Linked DNA regions of Notamacropus eugenii. The protein of the gene in region 1 purifies or fractionates together with the protein of each later gene. This does not show direct contact. Links are inferred from orthologs where the notes say so. Each region holds a gene or a part of one and is shown in the gene's direction. Other genes may lie near its edges.

What was found.
Region 2: the proteins of KPNA6 (region 1) and KPNB1 purify together in Homo sapiens (affinity purification with mass spectrometry; 4 studies listed by BioGRID and IntAct, with this or other methods). This does not show direct contact. The link is inferred for Notamacropus eugenii from reciprocal best matches to the Homo sapiens genes KPNA6 and KPNB1.
Region 3: the proteins of KPNA6 (region 1) and CHD8 purify together in Homo sapiens (affinity purification with mass spectrometry; 4 studies listed by BioGRID and IntAct, with this or other methods). This does not show direct contact. The link is inferred for Notamacropus eugenii from reciprocal best matches to the Homo sapiens genes KPNA6 and CHD8.
Region 4: the proteins of KPNA6 (region 1) and RNMT purify together in Homo sapiens (co-immunoprecipitation; 3 studies listed by BioGRID and IntAct, counting the BioPlex papers as one, with this or other methods). This does not show direct contact. The link is inferred for Notamacropus eugenii from reciprocal best matches to the Homo sapiens genes KPNA6 and RNMT.

What each region holds. Positions count from the first base shown.
Region 1 is NC_092876.1:77,691,501-77,698,693, reverse strand, and holds the start of KPNA6 (importin subunit alpha-7), read left to right. Parts: upstream 1-4,182; 5' UTR 4,183-4,282; coding exon 4,283-4,301; intron 4,302-7,193. UniProt on the Homo sapiens protein: Functions in nuclear protein import as an adapter protein for nuclear receptor KPNB1. Binds specifically and directly to substrates containing either a simple or bipartite NLS motif.
Region 2 is NC_092873.1:353,612,368-353,619,602, reverse strand, and holds the start of KPNB1 (importin subunit beta-1), read left to right. Parts: upstream 1-4,216; 5' UTR 4,217-4,358; coding exon 4,359-4,398; intron 4,399-4,566; coding exon 4,567-4,625; intron 4,626-7,143; coding exon 7,144-7,235.
Region 3 is NC_092878.1:12,473,501-12,480,770, forward strand, and holds the start of CHD8 (chromodomain-helicase-DNA-binding protein 8), read left to right. Parts: upstream 1-4,259; 5' UTR 4,260-4,459; intron 4,460-4,834; exon of another isoform or gene 4,835-4,854; intron 4,855-7,270. Other genes in the region: RAB2B (ras-related protein Rab-2B), read left to right, coding at 54-165, 974-1,042, 1,797-1,904. UniProt on the Homo sapiens protein: ATP-dependent chromatin-remodeling factor, it slides nucleosomes along DNA; nucleosome sliding requires ATP. Acts as a transcription repressor by remodeling chromatin structure and recruiting histone H1 to target genes.
Region 4 is NC_092875.1:228,469,303-228,476,597, reverse strand, and holds the start of RNMT (mRNA cap guanine-N(7) methyltransferase), read left to right. Parts: upstream 1-4,292; 5' UTR 4,293-4,380; exon of another isoform or gene 4,381-4,962; intron 4,963-7,295. UniProt on the Homo sapiens protein: Catalytic subunit of the mRNA-capping methyltransferase RNMT:RAMAC complex that methylates the N7 position of the added guanosine to the 5'-cap structure of mRNAs. Binds RNA containing 5'-terminal GpppC.

The sequences.
Region 1 (7,193 bases):
TCTGATTTGAATATACTTTGGATCCATTCTCTCACCCTGACCCCATAACCTGGAAATTTTCTTTGCTAAATAAGCCAGACTTGCACATGCAGTGACCGAAGGGAAGATAGGGCATCTGGTCCTATTCTGTTTCACTGTCACATGTTCTTGAACAATCAACAAGAATTTATTAAGTTTCTACCCAAGTGCCAGATCCTCTGCTAGGGGTACAAAGACAAAGTAAAGGCCACACTCTCAATCCATCAACAAGAATTTATTAATACTTGAACAATTCATTAATGCTGGCACTAGATGAGAGGCAGTGAATACAGTGAACAAAATAATACCTCCCCCAAGGAGCTCTCATCCTAATGGTGCCTGCCGGGGTCTACTCTAATTCCTGGTTGTTCCACATGTGCTGGCATCTGGTACAAGAGCCTAATAAATGTTCATTCATTTTTCAGAAATGTTTAGGACCTTGAGAGCCTCTCTCCTGCTGTCCACCACCAAGCTTAACAGTTATTCCTTGAGGAAACCTCTTTGCCACTAAATGAAGAGAATTTGCCTCCCAGAGACAGTTTTAGGCTAAAGTGTGTTTTTAGGCCTAATAATTACAAAAGGTGAGACTAGACTGGGCCTCTGACTCAAGTGTGAGACCCTGGGTTAATCTTGTCAACCTATTCATAGAAGCTTAGAATGCTTAAGGTCTAAAACTCCTTCCTGTCACCTGCACCTTTACTTAAACCTTTTCCCAAACCTGTAATGTACCTTCTCTTTGCCTAGAATTCCTAACTTCTCTCCGCTCAAGAGCCAACCACCTCTTCCTCCTCTTCTATAAGGTCTTTCTTGGTTAGTGTGAACCCCCCACCCCTTATTATGTGTCTTGCATATCTATTTACATAGATACAGCTTGGTTCCCGATAGAATATGTGCTCTTGGTTGCCAGGGACTGCTTTGTTTTTGTCTTTGGGTCTTCAGCTCTTAGTATTGTGGCCGGCAGATGGAAAGTGCTTAATAAATAACTTGCTGATTCATTTTTTACGAAGATTAGGTCCTGAGGGTTCCTGCCGTCCCTCTTAAAGAAAGGTTCCAGACCAACTGTAAAATCCAAATGTAAGTGTGACATGGGAGTGGTAGTATAGAGTACTGACCTTACCACGAGGGAAATAAGACATTTAGGTAACAGAGGCCCAGAGTCCCAGGCAGGAGCGCTTCCCCTGGGTCCATGAACTTGTTTTTGTTTGCATCTGTTCATCATATTTCAGTAAAATTCATTTCTTTTACATGCCTACGTGTCCGTGCATTTTAAAACCTTAATTCTGAGCACAAGTCCCAAATAAAATCTCCCCTTCTACTGGAAACCTTTCTGGTTCTTTCTTTCTCTTCATCGTTTCACCGTTCACCTTATCTACATCACTGAACCGTCCGCCGGCTCGTTGCGAGCGTCTTGGGGGCAGGGACTCCCTTTGCCCCGTCCCTGTATCCCGGCGCTTCTGGCGCAGTAACCGAAGAGACTGGCAGCCTCGCGGGGCCGCCCAGGAGGGGCTGGCCGTCTGGGCCGGCACTTTGCTTCTTGTGGGAGCTCTTCACGGCATAAACGGCACGTGTGTGATACTCGGTCTTGCGGAAGCGCGCTTCTTCCCAGGCATCCGCTGCTTCTGGACTTCTGGGCACCCGGCGCTCTCCGTGCCCGGTTATTACCCACAAGCCGGACTGCAGGTCAGGGCGCCTGCTGCCCTACAGGCCCCGCGCCGCCTCCTTCCTCTCGGGGGAGGGCTCGTTCGCACTGGCCGTGTTACCCTTCTCCAGCCTTGATTTAGTCTGGGAGCTGAAGCCCAGTCCTCCAGAGCAGGGGCAGGAAGCCCTCCCGCCGCTGCCGCTTCTCCTTCCGGAGCGCCCCCTCCCCTCCTCGGGCCGCGTGGGGGCGGGGCGGCCGGCACTCGTGAAACCGAGGGGCAACAATAAGAGGTTTCTGAATGCGCAACCACCGGAAATTAACTGAAAATCAAATGCTTAATGAATTCCAGGTGGGCACTTTGCACTGCGCATGCCCGGAGGCCCCGCCACGCCGCAGAGCAGGGGTCAGAGTGGAAAACATGGTAGCCCCGCTCCACAACCTAGCTGCCAGGCTGTTACCCAGCATTAGGGTGAAGATTAACAGTCTCTTTCATTCTTATTTTTAGGAAGCTTTTTGTTAGGTCAATGCAAAAACCTATTTCGCTGTAATCTGCTGTTCATGCTAATATGCCATGGGTCTAAGCAGGATAAATGATCCTTTTTCCATCCACATCTTCTCCAAGTGAAGCACGTCTACTTCCTTCAACAGACGCTCCTCATGTGGCCTGATTTTGAAGCCCTTTGCTGTCTGGGGTGTCATCCTCTTGATTCTCAATTATTTTTTTTCTTAAACGAGTGCCCAGAATTGAATGTAATATTCCAGATGACAGGGGAAAAGACAGCGAAATTCTTTGCTCCCTTATTGTGGACACTCTGCTCTAGCCCAAGATCTCATCAGCTTTGATCAAGTTACTATTTTATACTGTGTGGGATGGCTCAGGTCCCTACATAAATCAATTACTCAGAGGCCTCTCAAAGTGATGACAGAAAAGTGATTTATTCGATTCTCGAGAAGTGGGGTTCACCTGTAGGAGTAGGAAAGACAAAGAACAGGACAGTGATTTATATAGACCCTAACGCAAGTCCCTCCTCCCCCCACTGACCATTATCCTCATTAGCTGAGAATATGGTCTTACATTCTAGACACGAAATCTAACCAATCCCTTTTGAAATGAAGACATCGAGGAATTATGTAAGTTTTGTCCAGTCATTGAGACCCTAATACACTACACAGTTTTATATCCTTATATGGAACTATTCTATTCTAAAAATATTGTAACCTTGAGCCTTTAGGCCTTACCTCACCCCTGGGAGAAAAATTACAATCTGAGGAGTCTTCACTAAGTATCCCACTCAATACTGATGATTCATACTCAGTTTTCTGCCACCTAAATTCTCAGATCTTTTTCAGGTGACCTCTTTGATATACCCTCCCCTCCTGGTTTGTTGTTGTTCATTCATTTCAGTCATGTCTGACTCTATATGACCCCATTTGGGGTTTTCTTGGCAAAGATGCTGGAGTGGTTTCCATTTCCTTCTCCAGCTCATTTGACAGATGAGGAAACTGAGACAAACAGGGTTAAGTGACATGCCCAGGGTCACACAGCTGGTTAGTAAGTGTCAGAGACTAGATTTGAACTCAGGAAGATGAGTCTTGCTGACTCCACACCCAGCTATACGTGACCATTTAAAAATAGCTGGCTGGTTTTTTGTTTTTTTTTAATGTAAGGTCTTTGAAGACAATGGGCAGGTTTTTTTTCAAGAGAAATTTTTTTTTTGAATCATGATTCTTTAAAAAAAAAGATAATTCTCTGAGCCAAAAAAATAAATAATTTTAGTATATTTGGCCTATTGCTCTAACCCATCCAAGGTTTTTTTTTGGATCCTGACTTTGTCATCAAGTATGTTAACTCTCTTTCCCACCTTTGTGTCTGCAGATTTGTTGAGTGTTCCACCTTTGTCTCATCCAAATTATATCAGAATATAGGCTTCTTGAGGGCAAGAACTGTTTGCCTCTTTTAAATCCCTAGCACACTAAATCTAGTGCCTGGCACATAGTAAATGCTTGTTGGTTGATAGTAAACAGTACAAGAATGGAACATTCTGATAGAAACTTACTTCCAAATTGGTAACCCATCTGTTAATAACTACTTTGGGGAACACTCAGCCCAATCCAGATCCCTTGCCTATACTGTGGTGCAGACTATATTTCCCTGTCAACAAAGACTAGCTGGAGAATGTGATTTTCCCCTCCTCCCACCATTTTACAGCTAAAGAAACTGAGACATAGAGAAATGATGTAACTAATTTAAGGTCTTCTAGATAGCAGGTTCCTGAAGAGTGAAAAAAAGTGAATTTCTGCCACCAGCTTGAATCAAGGAGGCCTCCTTGGCCCATGGCATAGGCACAGACACAGATCTAAAAGGACCTTTCTGATAATGTTTCTTCCTTTGGACCTTGTTCTATGGTAAGGTAATGTTTTGATGTGAATTTGTCCTTAATAATCATTATAACTCCCCTTCCTCGGTCCTCCAGTGAAGTCATAAGCCAGTATTTGTGAGATATTCTCCCTGTTGCCATAGTGACAAAAATACAGTCATATAATCACCTTTTTTAGCTCCCCTTGTCAGCTCTGTGCCAAGGCAAGCAGAGGAACAACCACCCTGAGTAGATCTGGATCTCAGTCATGAAAAAGCAACTGTCAGGTAATGAAACTCAATAGGCAACACTGGCAGCCTTTTGTTACCTATCTGTACTGAATAATCATTAGTTACCTAGGAGTGTCCAGAGAGTGTCATCAAGCTTCCTTGCTTTTGTGCTAAGTTGACTTGCACTCTGCCCAGTGTGACTGTGAGCTGCTTGACACATTCTAAGAACTTGGAAGGAGGTCCCAGCCCAGCTTATCAGATAGCCGATCTTCACCTCTCCCCCAACACAGCCTTATTGGGTTTCAACAACTCATTGGAATGTCTTTCATGTCATTGTACTCCATTGACAAAATATCCTTCATTCCTATCTGCCCAATCTTTTCACTTTCTATTTTTAATCTCATAAATTCATTTTTAAATCCCTGAAGCCTTGAGACTGCCATAAAAGCCATAGAATTGCAGGACTCCAGAGCTAGAAGGTGCTAGCATTCTAGTCCAACCTGTAAAAGTTGAAAAGACTCCTCTAAAACATACTTAGAAGTAATAGTCCAGGATGGGAGGGAACCTACTCCCTCCAGACAATCCAGTCAGCATTTGGATAATTCTAACTGTAGGAAGCTTGTCTATGCAAACCAAGCCTAAACTTGCTTATGCACTTTTACCTTGCCCTCCATCCTTCCTTGCTCCTTCTTTTGTTCTTTGGAGCCAAGCGGAACCAGACTAATCCCTTTCCTGTGTGGCAGCCCCTCAGGTTCTTGGAGACAGCTATCATATCCCCCCACCAGGCCTTTTCTTCTCCTGGCTAGACATCCCCAGGACTCATTCTCCTCTCATAAGGTTTCATGGCCCTTCACCATTCTGATCCATATTTCTGGATAGTTTCTATCTTTTATCAGTTCCCTTCCTTAAATGCTGTACCTGTAGTAGTGATGGAAGTAGTAATAGCAGCGGTAGCAGCAGTTACTAGCACTTAATTGCACTTTGAATGTGGCAGGCATTGCCCTGAGCCTTTTACAAATATCTCCTTTAATCCTTGCAACAACCCTGGGAGGTTGGTGCTATTATTGTTATCATCCCCATTTTATAGTTCAGGAAACTTAAGACTGACAGAAGTGACTGACAGAAACCCCTGATTGGCTCTGAGTGAACGTAAATAGTGATTGTTTCTGTTTTGGTCAGAAACCCTGAGAGTCTTTTCCTCCCAGATTGATTTTTTTTTTTTTTAAAAACTAGGTAAAGAAGCCAATCTCTGCCTCATTTTTATTAGGCCTCAATCACTGAATGAGTATTGCCTCAGTCAAACTGAGACCTGTTAAAGACCTTAGCTTAAAAAGGCAAGATCTAAGGCAAGATCTCTCATTGCATCTTGGGCCCTATCCAGTTGTCCTGATTCATATCTGGCCACTGAACCCAGATAGCTTCAGAGGAGAAAGTGAGGCTGATGAAGCCCTCCCTTACTTAAATCCAACTCACTTGTATGTCATGGCATCACCCTCTTGAGAATGAAGGACAGACAACAGCCACCATAAGCATACTAATCCAACTGTGCAGTCTTTAGGGGCTACTGACTACCTTATCATACTATTGTAGAGTCATTGAATTTTCACTCCACTGAAACTCCCAGATTGCTGCTATCCTCCACCTTACCTGTACAAAGTTCATTGTTTGAACCTAAATATTAGACTCTACATATATCTCTCTTAAATTTCGTCTTAATTAGATGTGGCCCAGTGTTCCAACCTGTGAATTCCCTTTTGATCCTGACCTCCAAGGAGTTAGCTTTCCTTCTCAGCTAGCTTTGTGTCATCTTTAGATTCAGCAACCAACGACCTTTATTTAATTCACTGATAATAGATTTTTTTCATTTTCAGTATCAAATGAAGAATTTTTACATACATAATAAAATAGAAGGAGAAGGTTGCACATGAAAACTCGAGTTCTATTATTTACAGCCTTCTTTTTAATCAATATCAATAAATCATTGATAAAAAGGTCCAAGTACAAATTCCTGAGTTTCTCTGGTGGAGATCTTTCCAGTTAACAATGACCTATTAATGACTATTAGAACAAGGTTATGCCAAACTTTTGCATTCATCCTCTGTTGCCTGCCCTTGCATCTAACTGGTGTATATGTATTTTTGAAATTTTATTGTGGCTGATGAATTCCCTGTGTTATCCTTATTTGCCTTTTTTTTTTTAAGATAACTTCCTTTTTTTCTTATTGGAATTTTCCTTTCATGTCAGTACAGTTTCATCAAAAGTTTCTGATTTATCCACATAGTTTGCATAGGATAGAACCCCATGTGGGCAGTCTTCTGCTTCCTAGCTGCCTTTCACAGCACTGATTTGTATCCTTTACACAGGTTAGAGAATACCTAGAAAATACTGGTCTTTTGAGTCAGAAGACCAACTCCTATGCTTACATTCTCATAAGATTGGTGAAAGAAAAATACTTTGTAAACATTACACTGTATTATATATAAAATTCAAAGACTTGTTCCTGTGAAGCCCTTTATCTTGAGCTTTTCCGGATATTTCTTGAGTATATCTGTGTAGGAAGGGAGTTAATGTAGTGGTGAATTTGATGTCTGGGGACCTGAAATGGAATCCTAGCTCAGCTATTTACTGTCATTGTGGTATTGTATCACTGTGGTAAATAAAATCTCTAAGCCTCTTTCCTCACGTGTAAAATGAGCTCCAGATGCTGTGGTTCTATTAGTAGAGGCATCAATCATTCTCAATTCGTGGAAGATAGAATTTGATTTGGACTTTGAAAAATAAATAGGCAAAAGGAAAAAGGGAGGGCATTCTCAGTAAGAGGAAAAACATGAATGAAGACAGGCAAGAATAATGTTGGGATGTCTATGTAGGAGACTGTGCCCATTTGGCAGATGGGAAAACTGAACTATGATGCTCTTTGTTCAAGGACAAGCATGGAACTGAGGATGA
Region 2 (7,235 bases), on another chromosome or scaffold:
AAACTTTAGTCTGAACCTACAACCTTGAGTACTAAAATCAGGGTACAGGTAAAATATTCTAGGCTATACTCATATAGCTCAGCATGACAGCCATAAACCTAGTGTTCATACATCCAGGGGCACTGATGAGGTCTGCTACAATGTTCCCTCTGCTCCTTTCACCCTCAAACTCTAAGCTATCCTGTTTCCATCATTACTACTCTTCCATCACTCCACACACAATAAATCTCATGATATGAAACACAAATGAAACTATGGCAGACCTCCCCCATTCTGAAGCAATTACTAGCTGTGTAATCTTGGGCAAGTCACTCTTCTGAGATTCAGTTTCCTCATTTATAAATAAGGGGAGCAGACAGAGTGACTTTGGGGGTCCTTTCTAAGTCTAAGTTTGTGTGACCCCCATTAGCTTCAGTGTTTGTACAGGGGCTCACCAAACATGTTCACAATTGCCCTGGAAGCTACCCACACACAATCCGCATGGAAGAGTGATTTCCTCCATAGATGAACTTAAGATCTTACTGTTCAAGGATGACATAGTGCTGATTTTCTTTAAATACCAGAATACTACTAAGTATCCTCAATGAGATCCTCAAAAATTGAACAATCCACATGGGGGAAAACCAAATGGATGAAAAAACGTGTATTGTTTAGGCACACTAGATGGGCATTCAGTTGGATGGGCAGCCCATTAAATTAGTCCATCAGTATGCATCTCTTGCAGAGGCACATGTCTCTGGATGGACAATGAACTGGCAACTGAATAGGAAGAAATGAATAGACTGGATTGCATTTGGAATATTATCCCATGTTTTCAAAATCTAGAAGTGTTTCCTGAAATGACCACTTATCATTTTTTTGTCTTTATAGGTTTATTTTTATTTTTTTATATCACAATCATTGCCTTTAATCCCCTATATCTGTTGTCCAGGGCTAAGATTAGTTATAATTAATCAGAGTTTTACTGCCTCCTCATATAATCCATCTTGTTGCTTTGATTTGGCACACTTATTTTTTTCAAACCTGCAAAATCACAGGTCTCCCTCAACCAGAACAGGTCTGCTCAGTAACTTAGTCTTGGAGATCTGCCTGCAGCACTGAAAGACCAAGGGTGCTTCCCAGAATGAGACAGCCAGTTGTCAGAAGTAGGGCTTGAACCTAGGCCTTCTGGCCTCTCAAGGCCAGCTCTCTATCCAATGTGCAATATTGCCTTCCTAATTCATCTTTTCACAACATTCTTCTAGTGATGCTAGATACATTGTTAAGTGCTTAATAAAATATCTGTTGCATCGAACCAAATCATTTCATGACTCCAATTGCCTACTGGATAAAGATCAAATTCCTTTGTCTTTTAAGACCCTCCACAATCTAGTGCCAGCCTTATCTCAGACTCTTTCCTTCCACATATTCTGCCCTCCCCTCAAATTAGACTCCTTGATGACCCCACACATCCTATACTTTGCCACCTCCAAATCCTTTCTGCTTCTTGTGACTAGATGTGTTCTCTACCTACCTCGCAGAACCCTAGGGGGCTAAACTCCTAGACCTCCTTTAAAGCCTAGTTCATATTCCACCTCTTAAGTCTTTCTTGATTCCTCTACTTGGTATTAAACATTTTGCCCTTGAAACTTGCTTAGTTCTTGGCTGGTATTCTCATGTACCCACTTTAAAGTTTTGTAAAGATATTCATAGATGTTTTTTCTTTTTTTACACTGTGGAACTGCCCAACAGTGTCCCTCTCCCCTGAGAGATCCCTCCCTGGTCACAAACGAAAATGTCTTGTCCACTTATACATTATGTCTACCAGTCATTTTTGTGTGTCTTGCCCTCCCTACCACTCCCATATATGCTTAGCAACATTGTCTCACCTGAACTTTGTATCTCTCCCCATACCTAGCACATGGCAAAGACTTTTTATAAAGTCTGATTGAATGGGGTCCAGTGGTTGTGAAGCTCAAATAACACAAATGATGTTAACTCACTTATGTAACTACTTTCCCCCTAACTATTGAATGAGGAAGGCCGTAGGATTTAGACCCAGAAGATATTTTAAGAGACTACCTACTCCGACTCCTTTGTTTCAGAGAGGATCTTAACAATTAGAATAGTTAAAAGATAGGATGAACTCCTCATCACTTGTGGGCTTCAAGGAGATTAGTTCAACTTTAGTAAGCAAATATTAGTGTCTCCAATTTAAATAAAGCAAAAACAAAATGAAAGAACTGTGACTTGTACAGTGGACAGCTCTGAGGGCTCTATGGACTAGTTGTGGTTTGACCTCTAGACCCTCCCAACTCTTGACTGTGGTTTGATTAAACGGAGGGCCAGAACAGAGCCAGGATTCGAATTGGTCTATCTGGGTTTTACAGTTTCCAAATCAAGTGTGTTCTAACAAGTAGATCTAACATGCCAGAGGAAGTCCGAAGATTCAGAAGCACTGTCTGACACGTTTCTAGCTTCCTCTGGGGACTTACGTACAGGATGGAAATTGAAGCCTCACATGTTCTATTTTCTCATGACCTCTTGGAATCACTTCCTGCTTCAGCTTAATTTAAGCTAACTTTCCTTATTCCCTTATTTATGGCCCATTCCCCAAATACTTTATGTATACACATTATATTTTGTGTACATATTCTTCTCCTTCCCTTATGTTAAAGCCTCAAGTGTTCTACCACCTCACAACCTTTTGCAATGTGTAGTTCAGCTTAATTTAAGCTACCTTTTCTTATTCCTCTACATGTCTGTGGTCCACTCCCTAAATACTTTATATATGCTCATTATTTTGTGTATATTTTTTCCCTTCCTCCCCTGGAGATTGGGGCCGAACCATCCTTGTTTTTCAACTCTCAGGTCCTAAAACAGTGTCAGCACTTATTAAATGCTTAATGAATATTTAATACGGTCAATTCTTGCTCCAGGAGCAAGTAATTTTAGGTATTTTAAATGCTTTGATTTTAAACACACCCCAATACTGGAAGAATCTGTGATTTCTTCTGCAGTAAGGCCACTCCCTTCACGTACTGATAAGTCCCAGGGCTGTGCCTCAAACATGCAGAGCTAAGAGAGCAGCTCTGGATTACACAGCTCGCAAATTTAAGAATTAGGATTTGAACCCAGATCTGCCAGAATTAGCACGTTTATAACGAGGCTGATAGCCAGGGGCGTTCAAGTAAACACCTACATGAATTTCCACTTCAGCGGACGTCTGCAGCGAACTTACCTCGTCAGGGCACCACACGTGCCCTGACACTCCAGGTACGGCCCCGGCCCCAACCCCGGGCCACCCACTGGGCCTCAGCACAGTCGGGCATAAAGCCCGCGCCGAAATCAGTTAGGAAAGAAGCCCAGCACCGCGCCCGCGCCCGGGGCCTAGACCGACCTCATCAAGCCCAGCTCAGGGTCTGGGCGGGGGCGTCCTGAACGCCGACTTGGGCGCTAAGATGCCGGCCCGCCTCTTTCCTGAGGTATCCCATGGTGCCCCGCGGCCTTCGGCCGCTCAGAGCATCCCGCCTTTCAGACCGAAGCGACCCCGAACTCCTCTACTCAGTTCTCTTGAGTGCCCGGCCTCAGTTCATCCAATCGATTCCCAGCACCGCGTCCAATCAGAACCCTCCGGGGCTTTCCCTTCTATTACCCCCTCCCTTCCCCACCCCCAGCCAATGCAAGCACAGCACCCTCATGAGGCGGGGCCAATCGGCGGGCGGCTCCGGGCAACCTCTCTCCCGCCCCCCCACGCCAATCCGCGCGTCCTTCCCGGCCGCCAGCCCATCCAACCGGAGCTTCGCAGGCAGCGGGCGAATAGGCACGCGGCGGCCCTCCGGCCCCAGCTGGCGGGCCAATCGGGAAGTCCGCGTGGCCTCGGTGGGGGCCAATCGGACTGGAGCGCGGTGCCGCCGCGACGAGTTCCGGCCCGGATATCCCTCCGCCTCTTCTCTCGCTCTCTCTCCCCGCCTGCGAGCCGCCGTTCACTCACTGACTCCCTCCCACCCTCTTTTCCTTCTTTCTCCCTCCGCCGCCCCAGCACCAGCCGCGCTCCGACTTGCCCCCGGGGTCCCTCCCCCGCCGCCGCCGCCACTGCCACAGCCGGAGGAGCCAAAGCCCTCGATACAGCAGCACAGGAGGAAAAGGAAGGGGAGGTGGAGAAGAGGCAGCCAGGCAGGAACGCGGGCAGGGAAGCCGGAGCGACCAGTAGGAGGGAGCCGGTGAATGGGCTTGTGGTGACCCCCGCCCCCCCACCCCAACCCTCCCTTCCCACCCGGCCCCCCAACCCCCCGTCCCCCATCACAGCCATCGCCGCAACCGCGGGAGTCTGAGAAGCCGGAGCCGCCCGAGGAGGAGCCCGAGCCCCCGTCGCCGCCATGGAGCTGATCACCATCCTCGAAAAGACCGTCTCGCCCGGTACGAGACCGGGGTTGGGGCTGGGGCTGGGGCCGGGGCCAGGGCCAGGGCCGAGGCCGAGAGATGGGGCGGGGGGATGGGACCGAGGTGATCTGACCGGGGGAGGGGAAGCCCCCTCTTCCCCCTCTTCGCGGTTCCCCTGACCCCCTTCCTTTTCCTTCTCCACAGATCGGATTGAACTGGAAGCGGCGCAGAAGTTCCTGGAGCGGGCAGCTGTAGAGAACCTGGTGCGTTTTGCGCCTGGCCCCCTCCCATCCCCCCAGGCTGGGGCCTTCCCGCCCTCCCCGGGGCCCAGGCCTAGGGAACCCACCCCGCCCCATCTCGCCCCCCCTCCCCCTTCTCCCTCCCTTCCCCCCCTTCTCGGACCAACCTAACCCCGCCATCGGGAAGCCGGTGGGTGTGTCCCGCCCCAGGCCCCGGCAGCCGGCCAATAGCGAGGCGCGCCGGGCGAGGGCTGCCCAATCACCGCCCGGCCTGAGGGCGGCGGTGCAGCGGGAGGGAGGGGAAGTTAGGTTGCGCGGCGCTGCGTGTTCAGTAAGGGTGGGGGTTGGGGCGCCGGGGCCTAGGGACCATGTGGAAGCCCTAGGAGCCCGGCCAATCGCCCCGCCTAAGGGCCTGCTTCTCCTTTTCCGTGGCCTTTCTCATTCTCAGTCCACTTCATTGAGCTGGTCTTTTCCAGACTCTGCCTCCATAGTCTGGCCTGGTAGCCCCCAAATCTCCTTTCACTTAATGCCCATATTTTACCCCCTCCTTGAGTGTGGGTCTTCTGCTGCCATCATGGAACTGGATGGGGATAGAGTTTTAATCGGTCAGGGAGTTGGTCTTAGACTAGGCAGTGTGGCCCAGAAATGAGGAGATGAGGCCTATTTCCTGTTGCAGTTTCAGAGGAAGTATTTTGCTATTCTTACTTTCCAGATTTTAAGAATATGAAAAAATTATGCAGTTCCCTATTTGATGGGGAGCTGTTTCTCTGGATAAAAATTTAGGGTGGATTGAATGAAACAGCCCATATGCCAGTCATGTTCCCCTTTTGGTGTTTTTCTTATAAAACTGAGATTGAGATGTCTGCGGCATAATGTCCTCTTTTAAATGGTTGAAGAACCATAAAATATTCTAAAAATGTTTTTTTCTGTCACTTAAACTAGACGTAAGGTGAACCTCATGCCAAAAGAAAAAAATTATGGATGGTTTTTTTAGACTGTTTTTAAGTGATTTAGTCTTGTGCTTTTAAAGGTCAGTATTGGTTGACACTACAATTTTAGCTATAATTAGGTTATTTTATTTCTTAACTGGCCTGTGTGTGCCCTTCACGTTTTGCAGGCAAGACCTTTTACTGATATAAATGAATCATTTGTTTTATTTTTGTGAAGAATTGTAAGAAATCTGTTTGACTTGTTACTTAATAATGTGTTGCCTGTTGAGAAGATTAATTCTTGCATGTCTCAAATTTCATAGACTGGCTCTGCCCATTTGTGGCTTAGCTTATGAACTTTGGGAGTAGGGTTGAGAGACTTTGGGGGAGGCTATATTCTGTTTGTTAAATATATCTGCATTTATAAGTAGTTGGGGCTTGATGGAGCTTCTTGCAGATTTCTAGCTTCAGTAGAGTGCTCAGCTTCAGTATGGTTAGAAAGTCAGGAGCAACTGATAAATATAAATTAGTAAATGACAGTAGTTTGTTGAAGTCTTGCCTTACAGTTTCTCACTTCTATTTTTGAAATTGAATCCTTAGTTCTAAAAGTTTGGTCCTTGTTGCCAACCTTCATATCTTTTACCTTGCACTTATTCTTCCCAATTTTCATTTTATTGCCATTTAATGCTTCTGGCTTATTTTCCCTTTATAGTGTCTTTGAATAGGGTACAAAGAAGGTTCCTGAAGCATTATTTTACTTTGAGTTTACATATAAGTAATTACAGAATTTCAGAATTAGGAGGAACCTCAGTGGCTAGTTAGTCTCTTTTATTAATGTACTTGACAAATGGTCATCTAGCCTTTGCTTGAAGACCTTTAATGAGTGGGAACTTCCCAAGGCAGCCCATTCTTCATTTGTAGAATTTTACATTGTTAAGAAACTTATATCGAGCCTAAATTTTTTTCTTCTACTAGTTGCTCCTACCTCTTGTCTTTTCCTTCCTGCAAAAATAAAGCTGACTTTGGAGGGAAGGCTTAGGAGAGAATCCTGACTCTTCTAAAATAGCCTTGTGACCATGGGCAAATCACTTTGCTTATCTGATCTCTTGTATATAATGGGCATGATAAAGAATTTCCAAGACCTGCGGAGTTCTAAGATTTACTGAGTCAAGAATCTAGTCCATTTTGGATGAACATTCCTAGAAGGTAATTGTCAACTTATTCCTTTCCTGCATCTGTCCATAGAAGAAACCTATTGACTGACAGGTAGATCAACAAACTAGCTTTGAGTTTGAACAGGTTAGCTGTGGACATAAAGACAACGTATAAATGACATCAGTCAGAATGAAAAACTATCCTACTTTTATTTATCTGAGTATAGGAGTTGGGGAGAAGGATGGTGAATATAGAGTATCCCAAAAGTCTTAGTGCAGTTTAAAGCATGTTATTGGTGTATGAGCAAAACAATTAAGTGGAGTTTTGAAGTTGATATTTTAAAATTTTTATAAAGACCTTTTGCTTTTTCCCCCATGAGTTGCTAACCAAGCTAACCTTAATCTGGGAAATTCCCTGAGGCTGTTACCATTTACAAATATTTTTCTTCTCCTAACCAGCCCACTTTCCTTGTGGAACTGTCCAGAGTGCTGGCAAATCCAGGAAATAGCCAGGTTGCCAGAGTTGCAGCTGGGCTACAGATCAAGAACTC
Region 3 (7,270 bases), on another chromosome or scaffold:
TCCCTCTCTAATATGGATCTTTCTTTCCTTTTGTCTCCATCAATTTCTTTCAGTGACCTAGAGTCTCGACGGGATGTGAAAAGGGAAGAAGGAGAAGCCTTTGCTCGGGAGCATGGGCTTATCTTCATGGAGACCTCAGCCAAAACCGCCTCTAATGTTGAAGAGGTACTGCCCCAAAGGGAGTGGAGAAAATGATGTAGGGACTAACAGGACATTATTCTTACCTTTCTTTCAGAACTCCCTTCCCCAATAGCACAAAGTCTTCTTGGTAAGGAAAGGAGTAGTCTTAGTGGATTGGGGAAACAAGTGCTCTCTTTTTATGGAATTATTCCATTTTAACTAATTCCTAAGTGGTCAAATAACATTAATAAAATGTGGTATATACAGCACTGTTGGGTAGCTGCATAACTGATTAGAGGCCTACATTCATCTAATATTTTCCCCAGTGGTTTGTAAGATAAGGAAGATGCTCATTCAGTTTGTATATAATGTACATATCTCCCTTCCTTCTTTGCAGAGATGGGGGCTGCGCTGGTGGAACATTTCATATTCCGTCAGACTTGGTTGTTATGTTGAATAGTTTTGTTTAACTTCCCCCCTTCCCCTTTTTTATTATTCTGTTTTACAAGGGATAGCTCTCTGGAGACAGAAGATTGAGGGATATATTTGAAAATGAAGGTGATATAAAAGCAAAAGACATCAGTATTTTTTTAAGTTTAAATATGACACCAACCCGAAAAGATCTTGGGCCAATACTGAGGATGGTACTGAAAATCTTGGGAAGCATTCTCTAAGAATCTTAAGAAAGACTGTGCCGTGGTTATTGAGACTTCCTATGATTTTCTTCCCTGTCTTCTATAATTCCCCCTTTCACTCTTTAGATATACAACAGAAAAAAGCTATTGCATTCTTTCTCTTATTTCTCTATATTCAGCTCTCCTTGTCTCTATGTGAATTGATTTGTTTCCTTTAGGCCTTCATTAACACAGCCAAAGAAATATATAGGAAGATCCAACAGGGCTTATTTGATGTCAACAATGAGGTGAGAAGGGGTGATGCATGTCCTAGCACTGGTTTATTTTAACCTGAATAAGATAAGGATTTTCCTAGAATGTAGGTTTCTCCCATCTGTTGCCTTTCTATTTAAACTAAGGCAGTTTAAATCTGACTTTTCACATGAGACTTCAGGAGACCCATTATTTCTTCCTGGTTTCTTTTGATGATGCAGAATGAGTGGTTGAAGAAATAAGTGGTTAGTAATCATTTCATTCACTGTTTAAAATTTTTCTTTTTTACAGTCCTTGGGTATGGGGAAGTTATAAACACTATCAATTAGAAGGATCCATCCTCTTCTATACAATCTGGGGTGAAAACAGAAGGGAGAAACTTATTTCCCATATCTATCCTCCCTTTCTCTCTTTCCTTCCCACCACATGTATGCATGTTATTGTGGCTCAAAAATTTAAACATAATAAAGGCATATATGTATATATATGCATATATGTGTATATATATAAACATACACATACATATTACAAAAACAAAACCTCCACTAATTCTAGACAATTCTATGTATTTCTATTACAGTTAGCCATTATATAACTACTGATTGACCTTGCAGCTGTTTAGTATGCACCTACAAGAATTGTTCACCTTCCAAGGCCCCTCCTGCCTTTTGGAGAGTGATCAGTTTTTTCTTTTGTTTTGTTTTGTTTTATTTCTCTCTCCCTCTTTCTTCCTGTCTCTGTTCCATTTTAACACTAAGGTTTGGGGATATTTCTTTTTTTTTCTTACAGGCAAATGGCATCAAGATTGGGCCTCAGCAGCCAGCCTCAGCATCATCAGGACCCAGCTCATATCAAAGGAGTTATGAAGGCACAGGTGACAGCTCGAGCTGTTGCTGAATTTCTGGCCATAGTATCTGGTCCTTCTTGGAACAGATCCCACATGCAGCAGACTTGAGGGAAGGGGTCCTGGCTGCTTAGGCCAGGGGAGCCTCATCCCCAGGTGTGATATCCTGCCCTTCCACCCGACTAGGGAAGAATTTGTGCCCTTAACTGACCAGTTCCTCTTTGGGGACATGAACATTTCCTATAGATTAGGGCTCCTCCCTCTTCCTTCTCCCCTCCCAACTCCCATCCTCATCTTTTAATTTCTGAATTGTTAGGGGCAAGGCTGAGACTCACTAGAGTTCAAAGATAAGCAAACACTGATTTTTTTTTTAGCACAACCCTGCTGCCCGTTATGAATGTTAACAAGTGTCAGAGATCTTCTGAGTGAGCATGTCAAAGAGTAAGGAACTGGTGTACCATGTGGGAATGGTTTTGTCAGCTTGGGAATTTCAGCAGCCTTTTTATTTCCTTCCCTTTGGGGGTCCGTTTGCTACTTTTTCAAAGACCTTGTAGGGAACATATAGTTCCTTCTGCTAGAGCATTTAGAGATAATGATCAATTTTCTATGTCTGTAAGCAACTCCTTTCCATTGTTAATTTTTATCTCTTAGGGTCCACTTTTAGAGAAGTAACTAAACTTCTTGAGGCAGTCCAGGACCAATGGTCTTTTTCTCTATGTAGGACCTAGAGAAAACAATCTTTATTCTTGTTCTTTTAGAGACTATATCTAGTCAAGACCCTCAAACAACTGAATCTTTACTATCTGACCAACCTCATTTCACTACAGATCCTCCAGTCAAGCAAATCTGCTTGCTCTCCTCAGCTTGTTACACATGACTTTTGTTCCTTCTTCCTTGCTTTTTTACATGCTAATCCATGTTCTTCAACTTAGTGAGTTTAAGAATAATTTATGACCCAAAGTCAACCCCACCAAATTCTAATTGGTCTAATACTCAGTGCTACTTCAGCCTTTATAAACTCAGTATTATGTTAATTTGCACGTTTTGTTTCTTTGTAAATGTATCATTGGTTGTTTATGTGGAGGACCTTTCTTCCCCACATAGAGGTCAGGGACCATGTCTTCTGTTTTGTGCTTCTCCTTCCTTCCCAGTTCCCTCACAGTGCTTAGTATTGCACATAATATGTACTCTATAACTCTGACTGACTTCAAAGACATAGAACAGCCTTATTGTATGCCTTTTCTGAGGCTTTGGAAGCACCTTTTAGGAACTATATCCCAGTCTCTTCTAACGGCTGATCCTGGGTTCCATATTTTCATTTTTTCCCTTCTTAGGATCCATGTTCATTTGCCTTCCCTTTACCATATCCAGGATCTTCACTTCCATTCCATGCAGACCTATATAGGAAGGCTGACTGCCGCTAGGCCAGCAAATCAGCATGCACTTTTCTAGTCAGTCCTGTATTACAAAAGCATATTATGCTATCTTCCAAACAATTAGCCCTGCTCCCGTTTCCCATCACGCGTCTTCCCGGTCCAGCCCCTGTATCTTTCCGCTTAGGTCACTCAGTCCCCCTTTTCCACACTGGTGCCTCATGGACTTTATTTCTTTACTTTCTTTTTTATTATTATTTTGCTGTTGAATTATTTCATTATTAAATATATGCATGCGTCCAACCTGCTCCCCTTCCATGTGTCATTTCTGAGTGTAACTGTGGGAAGGCAGCGGTCCAAGAACTATCCCCGCTGCAGGGGACGGGTCAGAGGGGCTACAGAATCTTCCTGGGGCCAGGACTCGCCCCCGCTTTTGGGCCTAGACTGCAGAGTTCTTCCCCGAAGCTCTCCTTCGGGCCTGCGGAGGGAGCCGGGCAGGTTCCCCGGCCCAGATTCAGCACCCCAGGAACTGACAGCTCTCGGGAGAGAGGAGCGAGCGGAGCGCTCTCCGCTCTCGGGGGCTCTGCCCACGCGGGATCCAGCCTGGCTCCTCCGCTGGGGGTGCGGGGAGAGGCGCGGGCGCCGGCCTGCGCCGGGGCGGAGGGAGGCTCGGGGTCACCCTCGGCGGGGTCCATTCAAGGACGCCCACGGGCTCCCCGCAGGACGCAGGGGAGTGGGGCAGAGAGGCTGGAAGGAAGGTGTCCACCGCGTCCCCCCCACTCAGCCACCCCCGCCAGCCCGTCCAGCCCAAGATGGCCTCCCAGGAGCAAGCCACTGGGTCTTTCACTCCAGAGCTCCCCCAAAAGTCGGGGATAAGAGAGATGCCGAGGACTTCCAACCCCCGGGGACCAGAGGGTCAAGACGACAGTGCCACCTCATTTTGTTTTCAGTCAGGCACTGCCTCGGGCGCCTACCCCGCTCGGCTTCCTAGGACCCCACCTTCCCTTCCCTCCAGAGACTTCCTGGATGGCGCTCACCCTACCCTGCTAGATGAGTCCAGGGCCCGGCCACGCCATTGGCTGTTGCGGAGCAAAGTGGGCGGGGACTGGGGAGAATGGACTACCAGCAAGTTAGGCTGAGGCAAGGGCTGACCATGCTCCGCCAGAAGGCGCCTTGTTCTCTGCACGGGGCGAATTGAAAGCGGCCCCGTCCAGGAGGCAGCGGGACTCTTTCAGGTAGGCTCCCCCGGGCTCCTCTGGGGGGCCCCGGGGCCTTCACCTCCTCTTTCAGCACGGGAGCTCCACTCCCCTTCTCCTTCCCTCCTCCCCCTCCTCCCCCGTGAATAATGGGGGATCAGGTGCTGCCGGGGGATGCTCCGGACTGAACCATTCTCCTTTGTGAAGGCGGAGGGAGGGAAGCGGCCTCTGTGCAGGAAGGAGCCGGGTTAGGCTGGGGGGGCCGCGCCGCACGTTGCAGTCCTTGCACCCGGCCTCGCATCGTTGTGTCCTTGCATGCTGGGCGTGGTGTGGACTTGTGGCAGTGCTTCCTTCCGTCCGGAGCCCTTCTCTCCCTGGGAACAAACTCCCAGTTCAGTGGAATCCGAGGTGGGAGGCTGGGTTAGTATAAAAAGGTAGGTGGGCAGGGGCAGGGGGAGGGGGTCTGCTTGGGAGTCCTTAGTGGAAGAGGGAGGTGGGGTGCTGGAAGGACGGGGGGCTTCAGCCTGGCGTCTGCGGTGACAGGTCTGCGGGGCTCACGGACTTGTTTTCTGTGGCATTATGTAAACTCTCTGGGAGGAAGACCCCGCCTCCCACCACACACTGAATCCATTCCTTTATTTACCTGGGTCTGGTGTCGCAGGAAATATCCCTGCCCATTGCAGCAGCTGTGGAAATGCAGCAGCTGTAGTGTTTTAAAGGGGCAGCCACCCGAGTGGATGGCTTGGACTCGATGTCTTGGGTGGTAACTAAGCAGAGTGATCGAAGAAGTCCTTGAATGAGACCCTAGAACTTAGCGTCCTCCGTAAGACCGATACCGATGAGAGGTACTGAATTGAGAGCCCCCAAGACACTTTTGGGCAGCTACATTAATCGTTCCATTACTTACCAGTCTTCCTAGTGTCCCTAAACCATTCAGACCTTTTTGTTTTCCCCAGCCTGCCATCTGTGACAGGAATGACTATGAATTATCAGCATTAGCTAATTGAGGACCCGCTGAGGGTATGACGATCTCTAGGGTGCTAGAAGTTAGGTTTTGGTTTTTTTTTATTTTAGTCACCTTCTTCTACTAACCAGTCAATGTCAATGGTTCGAAGTACTGATTTTCTGTAAGGGGCACTGAGTAGATAGCAGGGGGAAAAATTTTAAAGGAAAAAAAAACCCGTGGTTACTGCTAGTGGTTCAAACTGTAGGAAGCTCCTTATTCTGAATATTTTGGAGTCATCCAGTCCTGTAAGGGAAAAGGAGTTATGATAGGGAATGAAACTGTTACCGTTTGAGAGGCCCTTCTGTGTTTCAAGACTGGAATGCCAGAGAGCCTGCAACGCAGGATAAAGGACATTGGTGAAGTAATATATATGTCTCTGTGTGGTTGGGGGTGGGGAGAGTGTAAGACTGGAATAGCAAAGGAATGGTGGGTCAGGATAGAAGGGATTTGATGGAGCTGTATGTGGGAAGCTAGCACGGTTCAGTTCTGCTCTATATTTAGTTGTAGCTAGTGCATTTGGCTTTTGATTTTGCCAGTGCGGAAATTGACAAAGTCCATTTAGATGCTACAGAAAATGAAGTGAATTTGCTGAGCTGATGGTGAATCACTAGCAAACAGTCCGAGTGTTTCTTTCTCTGCAGCACCGCAGGATGATGAGGTGGAGGTTTGTTGGCAGTGTGGTATCCATCACTGCAGACTGTTGGTTGGGATGGGGATAATGGAACATTATAGTTCGGGAAGAGTAGTTCACTGCTAGTTGGCCTAGGAGACAGCAAAGGATTGAGGGGGTGGTGTAGTCAGAGCACCTACGTTAGAGAATTGTTGTGAGGATCAAGTGAAATAATGCATATAAAGCACTTCTGGAGTAACCCTTAAAGCGCCACATAAATTCTAGTTATCTTCATCAAAAGACGCTCTCTTGTCAGTCTGCTTGGGATAGGAGGGATTCTTCTAACCCAAGTGTACTGTTCAAGAGATAGAAGAATGAGAACTGTATTCCCGTGTAACTAGCAAGCCTGTAAAGTGCTAGGAGACGCAGTGTTTGTATTCTCCAGGATGAGTTATTTTCTCCCCAGCTGACGTTAAAAAGCCTAAAGTATCCGTGTGTGAAGAAGGGTCATTGACAGTTACTGTTTACATCACTGGAATCTGCTTAAGCAAACTTGAACCTCATAGGATTGATTCTGGAGATTTCCTGGACAGATTTCTTGAACCTACATGGAAAAGTCTACCTTGCTGAGACTGACCTGGAACAATTGCCCTAGGATTTGACGGGAGGGACATTTGACCTATTCTGAGACTGTTACGTTTTCCATTTATAAATTAGTGTCTTTTTTACTGGGATAATTATGCAGTTCAAATTGTTATTTCAGTTCTAGGGTATTGTTTTAGGATTGTATCTTACTCAGTTTAACTCCACTTCTTTCTGTAGCCATTTTTCCATTAGTTGGATTAGTTTTCTCTCTATACCTTGCTGGTAGCCATTTGACTATAAAGTACACATACCTCATTTCTTTCAATTGCTTCTCTCTGATTTTAGTTCTCTTTCTTTTCTATTATAATTCCCTGACTTTCCTGTAATCTTTCTGTGTCTTTCTGGTATTGAATGCCTGCAACTGAAGTAGAATGCAAAAAATTACGAGGGCCTTCCCAGGCCTGTATAAAGAGCCTTGGCCTCAGTTGAAGTGTCTTTGGCACATGATGCCTAAGAGACACTTGTGTTTTTTCATGATGCTCTCTGTGTTGCGATTTATCGTTCCCTAAAATTTTATTTGACCACTAAATCTATTCTTAATTTTTTAAAAATGTTTTTTTCTGCTCTCTACTTTTTTAACATGATTGTA
Region 4 (7,295 bases), on another chromosome or scaffold:
GGTGCATGTCAGCCTGTCCTCATTTTCTTTTTCTTTGGATAAGAAGTCACTTATCCCGATGAGGTTCCTATCCTTTCAAGCCCATGTCCCTGTCCCTCCTGGTCGGTGAGAACCAGGCATGAAATATCAATTTTCTTTCTTGGTTCTTCTATCTTATAAAGCAGGAAATTATATTTAAAACAAATTATGATAATCTGAACCATTCTGATTTGGGCAGGGGGAGAACTTCAGCACATCTGAATAATTGAAGACTTTTATTACTATCATGGTTAGCCTTTGAATTGTTTTCCATGTTCCTCATTCCCTTCTTCATTCTGTGCAGTTGCTCTACACTGCACACAGACAACAGTCTAACTCCTATTTCTGCCTTCACTGCTCTTCACCCAAATGTTCTTCCCTTCTGGGTTCTAGGTTTCCTCACATGAGTATTATCTACTTAATATCCTTAGTCTGCCTTGCTTGTTACCTAAGCATTGTGCATTTATGCCATGCAGCTGAGTCCATGTATTTTACTGCTGGCTCCTTTCTTAAATTTTGTCTCTTGTGGATTTCTAGGAGGGTCTGCTGTTAATCATCTTCCACCTGTAGCTGTTTAGTCATTTTCCAGTTGTTTTCAACTCCTCTTAACCCCATTTGGGGTTTTCTTGGCAAAGATGCTAGAATGGTTTGCCATTTCCTTCTTTAACTCATTTTACAGATGAAGAAACTGAGGCAAAAAGGGGTAAATGATTTTCTCAGGGTCACACAGCTAATAAGTATCTGAGACCACATCTGAACTCAAGATCAGTCTTTCTGACTCCAGGACCTGCACTTTATCTACTGTGCCACCTAGAAGCCTGATACTGCAGCTACTCTCTCTATATAGTATAGTGGATGTGGGTGAACATATACACATACTCATATATATAATATATATACACACACAGTAGACATAAGTAGATAGTTGTCTTTGATTAAGATTGCAAGATTCCAAGTAAATACATCTTTAATTGCCCTCTTTAGGGATATTTCATTCCTGGCCAGAAGCCTATGGTCCACAAATCCCAATCCTGTTCTTAGTTTTTTCTTATCCAGCAGTTTCTGGTGAAATCTTCCTTCTTCCTCTAAAACCCTTATCATAAGCAATGATAAAAACAAACAAGCAAACAAAAAGAACCACTTGTGCCCTGTAAGTCTTTAAGACTCCATAGTCTTATTTAATTTAAGGAAAAATTTCTTTCAAATTAGTTTTCCCAAAAGGGAATGGGCTTACTTTGGAAATATCATGTGGCCTTGTTGAAGAAATTACAGCAAGATGATCATCTGTAGGATATATTGCAGAGAGGAAGGTATGGATTGTATCAAATGACCTCTGTAGTTCCTTCCAACTTTTTGAGTTTCTGTGAAGTTACCTGTCGGAGTGGGAGAAGGTAGGCACCAATGTAAATCTTATTTTTAAAAAATATTAGTTATCTCATACTGCCTTCTAGTTTAAGAGATGTGGAAATTAATGCTCAAGGAGAACTAAGTGACTTGCTTAAGTCAAACAATAAGCAAATATTGGACTAGTGTACATGTCTCCAAATGCCTGGTCTAATGCTCTTTCCATTACACCAAACTATTTGCTCTAATTAATAGTAATAATTATAATTGACATAATAGTTTTTGATTCAAACATTTCCATGGAGCAAAACTCTTACTTTTTGCTATCCCCTTCCCAGACTCAAAACAGAACAGCTCAGTTAAATTGGGCTTTAAAGTTTGTAGACCAACATTATCTCACTTGATCCTTATAATGATTCTGTGATGTAGGTGCTATAATTATCCTCTTTTTATAGATGAGAAAACAAGCTCAGAGAGGTTAATTTAAATGCCCCAAATCACACAAATATTAAAAGCCTGAAGCAGATTTAAAATTTAGGTCTTCTTAACTCCAAGTCTCCAGCTCCATATCCACTACTTAAAAATCTCTCTCAAAACCTTATTCTACCATTGGGAAGAATTTCTTTAATTTTTTTTGTATTTGTAAATGTCAATTCTTATGTCATATATAGAGGTTTGCAATGGAGAACTTGCTTTCTAAGGAACATGTGACACTGAGAACCACTAAGAATAGCAAGTTCTCCTGACATTGGTAATTACAAATTTGAGAGGAGAAATTCACACTCTTCAAAGAGAACTCTTAGTAGGAAGCAGAGTAAATTCCTCAGGCTTCTCTTTCTATTCAAGCCACTGTAGATACAAAGTAGTGAGCCTCTCTGAAATTGGCTAAAATGAAGGACTATGTAACAATTATTCCTGCCTATAACGGAATCTTTTTCAGTTAGTAAACAAATATTTATTAAATGCCTACCATGTGTCAGGGCTTGTGCTTGACAGGATCTACCAAAGCTTGTGTTTTATCTGGCATTACTTGAGGATCTAGCTAAACTTCAAACTCCTTTTTATTTTTTATCATCTGTACCGCCCTCTTCCCTCCATTATTATTTATCACACTTTGCCCTGCCCTAATTCTTGCACAATGGATCCTGATTCATTCAGAGTTGATAAAAGTCAAACCAAAAATCATCTCAGTATCTATGAAAAAGCATTGATCAATGAGACGTACATACCTCTTTTGATTCCTTGGAATAACTCCAGTATATGCAAGCACATGTTTTCCCTCAAAATTAGTTATATTAAATTTTGGTGTAAGAACCAAAAGATTTAACACTAAGAGAACCTCATAGAATTAGAAATAAAGTCTGCTGGATGATGAATTCCTAATGGTTCCTTGGAACTGTAATGAGAATCACTAACTTAAGGATTTGACTTACAAATTATTATTTTAAAAATACATAAATGTGTACCAACTAAATAGATAAAACTAGTCTTTAGAAAATATCTTCACAAATACCATAATTTATATTGAACAATTTATAGTCAATATAGTCTTTTCAATGTCTTATTCCAGAATCAGTTCATGAGGTGGTATGTACACAGGATTGAATATCGACTAGTTAAACTGAAAATATATATACATGCAGCCTTGTAATTTCTCCTTCACAGAATGCTGATACCAGTTGCTTTTTTAACAGAGTTCTGACAATAAACTCTGACAGGAGACAAAATTCATCTTTTTTAAAACTTTCCTTAAAGACTGTGAGATCGGCCTTGGGGGTAAAGTAATTCAAATTGAATGGTGAAGCACATTTTCACACTAATCCCTTCAGCAGAAGAAGATAGTTTTCAACAACATCTACATATGAACACAATCAACTAATGATTTGGCTTATCTCTACTGCAGGTCGTTAGAAACAGTCATATTTGCAGACCAGCGTGTCAAATTCGGAATAACGTGGGTTCTCACTCCCAGAGAGTCCACACAGTTGTGACTGCCCTCATGTAAAAGGCAGCCACGCGCGAGCAGCGGGGCGCGCGAGGTTCATCACACACATCCCCTGCCATCTCTCCAAAGAAGCACGTGTGGCCTGCCCACCCCAGACGCGGTGCCCTCCCAACCTACAGAGGCCGCGGCGCGGTTACAGCTCAAGAAAACGGGGGGCGGGGTAGGCCTGTGTTCTTGGAGGGGGGAGGCGGGGAACTTCCAGTCGTGGGTAAGAAACCAAACAAAATAACAGAAAACTTCTAGGGGCACCATCTCAATGTTATGACCGGGGAAGAGGGAGGGGAGAGGAGAGAGGAGCAAAGGGCATATGGAGGAAAAAGGACAAGGGCTGTCCCTCGAGAGAGAATGAGGGCAGAGGAGGGAGGAGGGAGAGCCTTGGGGCAGTTAGCCACCACAGCAGGGCAGGTCGTGCCCTTCCCCCACTGGCTCGGGTAAAGCAGTTGGCCACGAGCACCAGGTCCGTCTCCCACTTCTCTCCCCAGCAGGGACGACCCTGCTCTTCCCCACGGCTGTGGGGGTCAGCGACGCCCCCTCACCTCTCCCTTCTCCCGCCCCGGGAAGCACAGAGGCCGAGGTACCTCGGAAGACGTTGGGTCCGTGGTCGCAAGCCCTGACAGGGCAGATTTTCCGGCGGCAATCACCGATAGGAGACGAACTCCCCCCAGGGTCCCCGTTGAAGCCAGTGTGACCAGGCCTCCCCTTCACCCTCCCCAGACCCAGGCGGCCAGGGCGGTCATTCGCTCTCTTCAGCCAGCCTCGCCCAGCCAAAACGTGCTTGCGACCTGCCGGGTGCCCAGCTCGGAGCCTCCAAGGCAAAGTCCGCACCAAGCACCCTGGGAAACGTAGTTTACTTAGGAAGAGATACTCCAAGTGCGAATGGGGAGGAAACGTAAAGCGCATGCGTTCTGTGGAAATGAGTTTTTTTCTTCCACCGCCTTCCGGAAGTTGCGTAACAGCCGAAGCGTGGCGCACTTACTACTTCCGCAAACAGAATGGCGGAAAGCTTTACTCAGGTAAGTGTTAGAACGGGAGGCCCTGTCCTTTTCCACTCCCAGTGTGCCTACTACTCTCTCGCTCTAGCCTCTTGGGGATTCTTTCCGTCTCGGAGGTAGAGACGCTTATTCTGACCTGCATTAACCATTGCATTTATACTAGGCATTCGTTGCGCACCGTGCTTAATATTCGGCCCCGTGTTGATTGTATTATGTGGCGGGGAAGGAAGTCGGGGGTCCTTGTGGGGGGTCGGACGTGACGTCGCCCCGGCGCGCTTGGCGGTTGAGCCGGCTACTGCAAAGGTGGCCCGGAGGGAGGGCGAGAGCCGAACGTCGGAGCCTCTCGGGTGGGTGCCGCAGGACCGCGGGGAACGACTGGAGTCCGGCTGGAGAGGTGCCTGTTCGTGCTTCAAGGGGCGGGGCTTGCCTTCGGTCCGGGCGACGCGCGCGGTGCCGCTCGAGATGCTCCTGCGGGGGTGGAGGGAGCCGGTAAGAAGTTTCTAGTACCCGGCATGGTAACCCGGGTGAAGGAGGAATGCTGCGAGAGCGGGGGAAGACAGTGACTGAGCGGCGGAGCCTGCGGCATCCGAGCTTTTCTTTTAAGTACGGCGCGGAGAAGGGGGAAGGACTGGGGGCCGCCTCCCATTCTATTCCCTCTTCGGGCCAGCGGCGGGGGGCTGGAGGGGTCCGCGTACTGGCGGGCTTGGAGCGCGGAGCCTGTGGCCCTAGCAGTCTCCCTGGGCCTCGGCACTCGGCCTCCCCGTCCCTGGCTCGGCTGCGCCTTGGGGCGCTGGAGTGAAAAGCTTTAAAAGGGATAGTGCCCGAGACGTGACGTCATGGCCCATTGAAGAGTTTCTTCGCCCATCTGTTTGCTCGGATCACCCGGGAGGTGTTTTTGTGGCGTGAATTTATCCTTCCCAACTCACTAGGGCTGTTTGTGGCAAGTTCTTGATTGGTAATTCCACTAATATAATATAAACTTGTATTGAAGCGTTAATTCTTGTCTCGAAGTCGTACTCTGTCCCCCCTCTTCCAGGTAAAGTCATTCATTCTTGAAACATTTTTTTGTTTGGTAAACTATGTGGAAATGAAAAAAGAGGACAGCCCCTGTAAAGGAAACCCACAACTTCTGATACCCTTTTTCAACTTCTTAACATTAAAAAAGTTCTTATTTTCAAATCTAATTTTACTAAAAATTTTCAGCTTTAGAGATGTATTGAATTGGATTTAATATTTTGATCATGTTTTGTGCATAATCCTGTGAACAGTAAGAAGATAGCTAAGAACCTGGTCATGAGGAAGTTATATGCTAGTAGAGGTGGGGGGGGGAAATCACGATACATTATGCTGGGAAAAGTATAAACCACAAAGAGATTACTTAGTACGTTAGGGTCATGGTTTTAAAAGCCCAATTAAAGGAAAGAAGTATTTTGAAAGTTTTTGTGATTATTTCTGCAAGTGTTTTTGTTTTGGATGTAGGCTTAGAATAATGATGAGTAGAAGTTTAGAGTTTGGGAGGGGAATTCCATTTAGAAAGAATGGTGGGCTAGGCAGAGGATTCTTGACTTGTTCAGTCTCATTTGCATCGACATAATAAGGCTAGAGACAGATTGGGAGGGGTTCAGAATGTCTCTCATACAAAATCTGGTGCTTTGAATAACTATTGGGAAACCTTTGAAGGTTTTAATCAAAAAGAGTGACTTGAGTCACTTTGGGAAGCTTATCCTGGCACTTGCTTTTTTTTTTTTTTCTGGAAGTAGACCAATGACATCTGGAAGGTGATGTATTAGATATGAATGGGGTAGAGCTTCTCAGAGTTTCAGTCTCACTCTTTCCTCCAGTCATTAAAATGCATTAAAGACAGCTGGTGATGGCCTGGGATGCAGTGGGTGACTTCCTTTCTAAAGGTCTTTCCCAGGTCTCAGTTTGTCTGAGGCCACATCCATTCAATGACTAAGGGAGTGGAGACAAAAGATGGCTTTATTTACCATCACAAATATATCTATCTTGGGAGAGAGGGGAAATTCCTCCAAGTTTCTGCCTAGAACTGAAACATTACTATAATCTAAACTATGAGTCACTGAGGCTTTGGTTGGAGCTACTCTTGGCTATTCTAGGAAAGAAGAGTGATTTGGGTTTTAAAAGTCTGTCTTTTCACAGGTATACTTCAAAAAATTAAAAATTAAAACCAAGCTGGACAAAAACTAAATTGTACTAGATTTTTTGGGGGGGTGGGGGCACTAAATAAGTAAAAGAAGATGAAACAAAGCAAGAATGAAAACAAGCCAGGGTAGCATTCTCCAGCTTCTGCTTAAATTGGCGGGTTGGGTCCCCTGAGAGGACTGTTACTCTCGGATAACATGGTAAAGACATTTAATACAAAAAGTTCTATCAACAGTTCAGTCCTTCCTACAAATTCAGCCATTGTTGTGTTGAGGCTTGTGCGTGAAAAGATTTAACTCACAGCACCTGCTCTGGAAGTTGTCCTCCCTCTGTGTAAAGACTTCATGCAGAACCCCTGTTCATCCTTCCTTCTCAAAGAGAACCAATGGCATCTTGAGGGTGGTGAATTGTGTATGAGTGGGCACCAAGTCATCAAAAGTTCAGTGGTGAAACAAAGATCAAGACAACTGATGATGGCCCAGTATCTAGCCCCTGTATAATACCTTGAAGGAGACAATGGGATGAGTTAAACTTTTGTGGAAGTGTAGGGGAAAAAAAATAATAGGGGCTAGGGTTAGGATATTTGTGATGGAAATAAAGAGGACAGAGGCATGACAGAGAAGGGTCAGATTTGTTGCTTGATTAGGTGGATGGATGAAAAGTACTACAAGGTTCTCCTCTGAAGACAAAGAGATTGGTAGTGCCATTAGCAGTTAAATTTTAGAAATGAAATGGACATGCTTGGGGCATGTCCACCTAGAGGACTTAAAGCA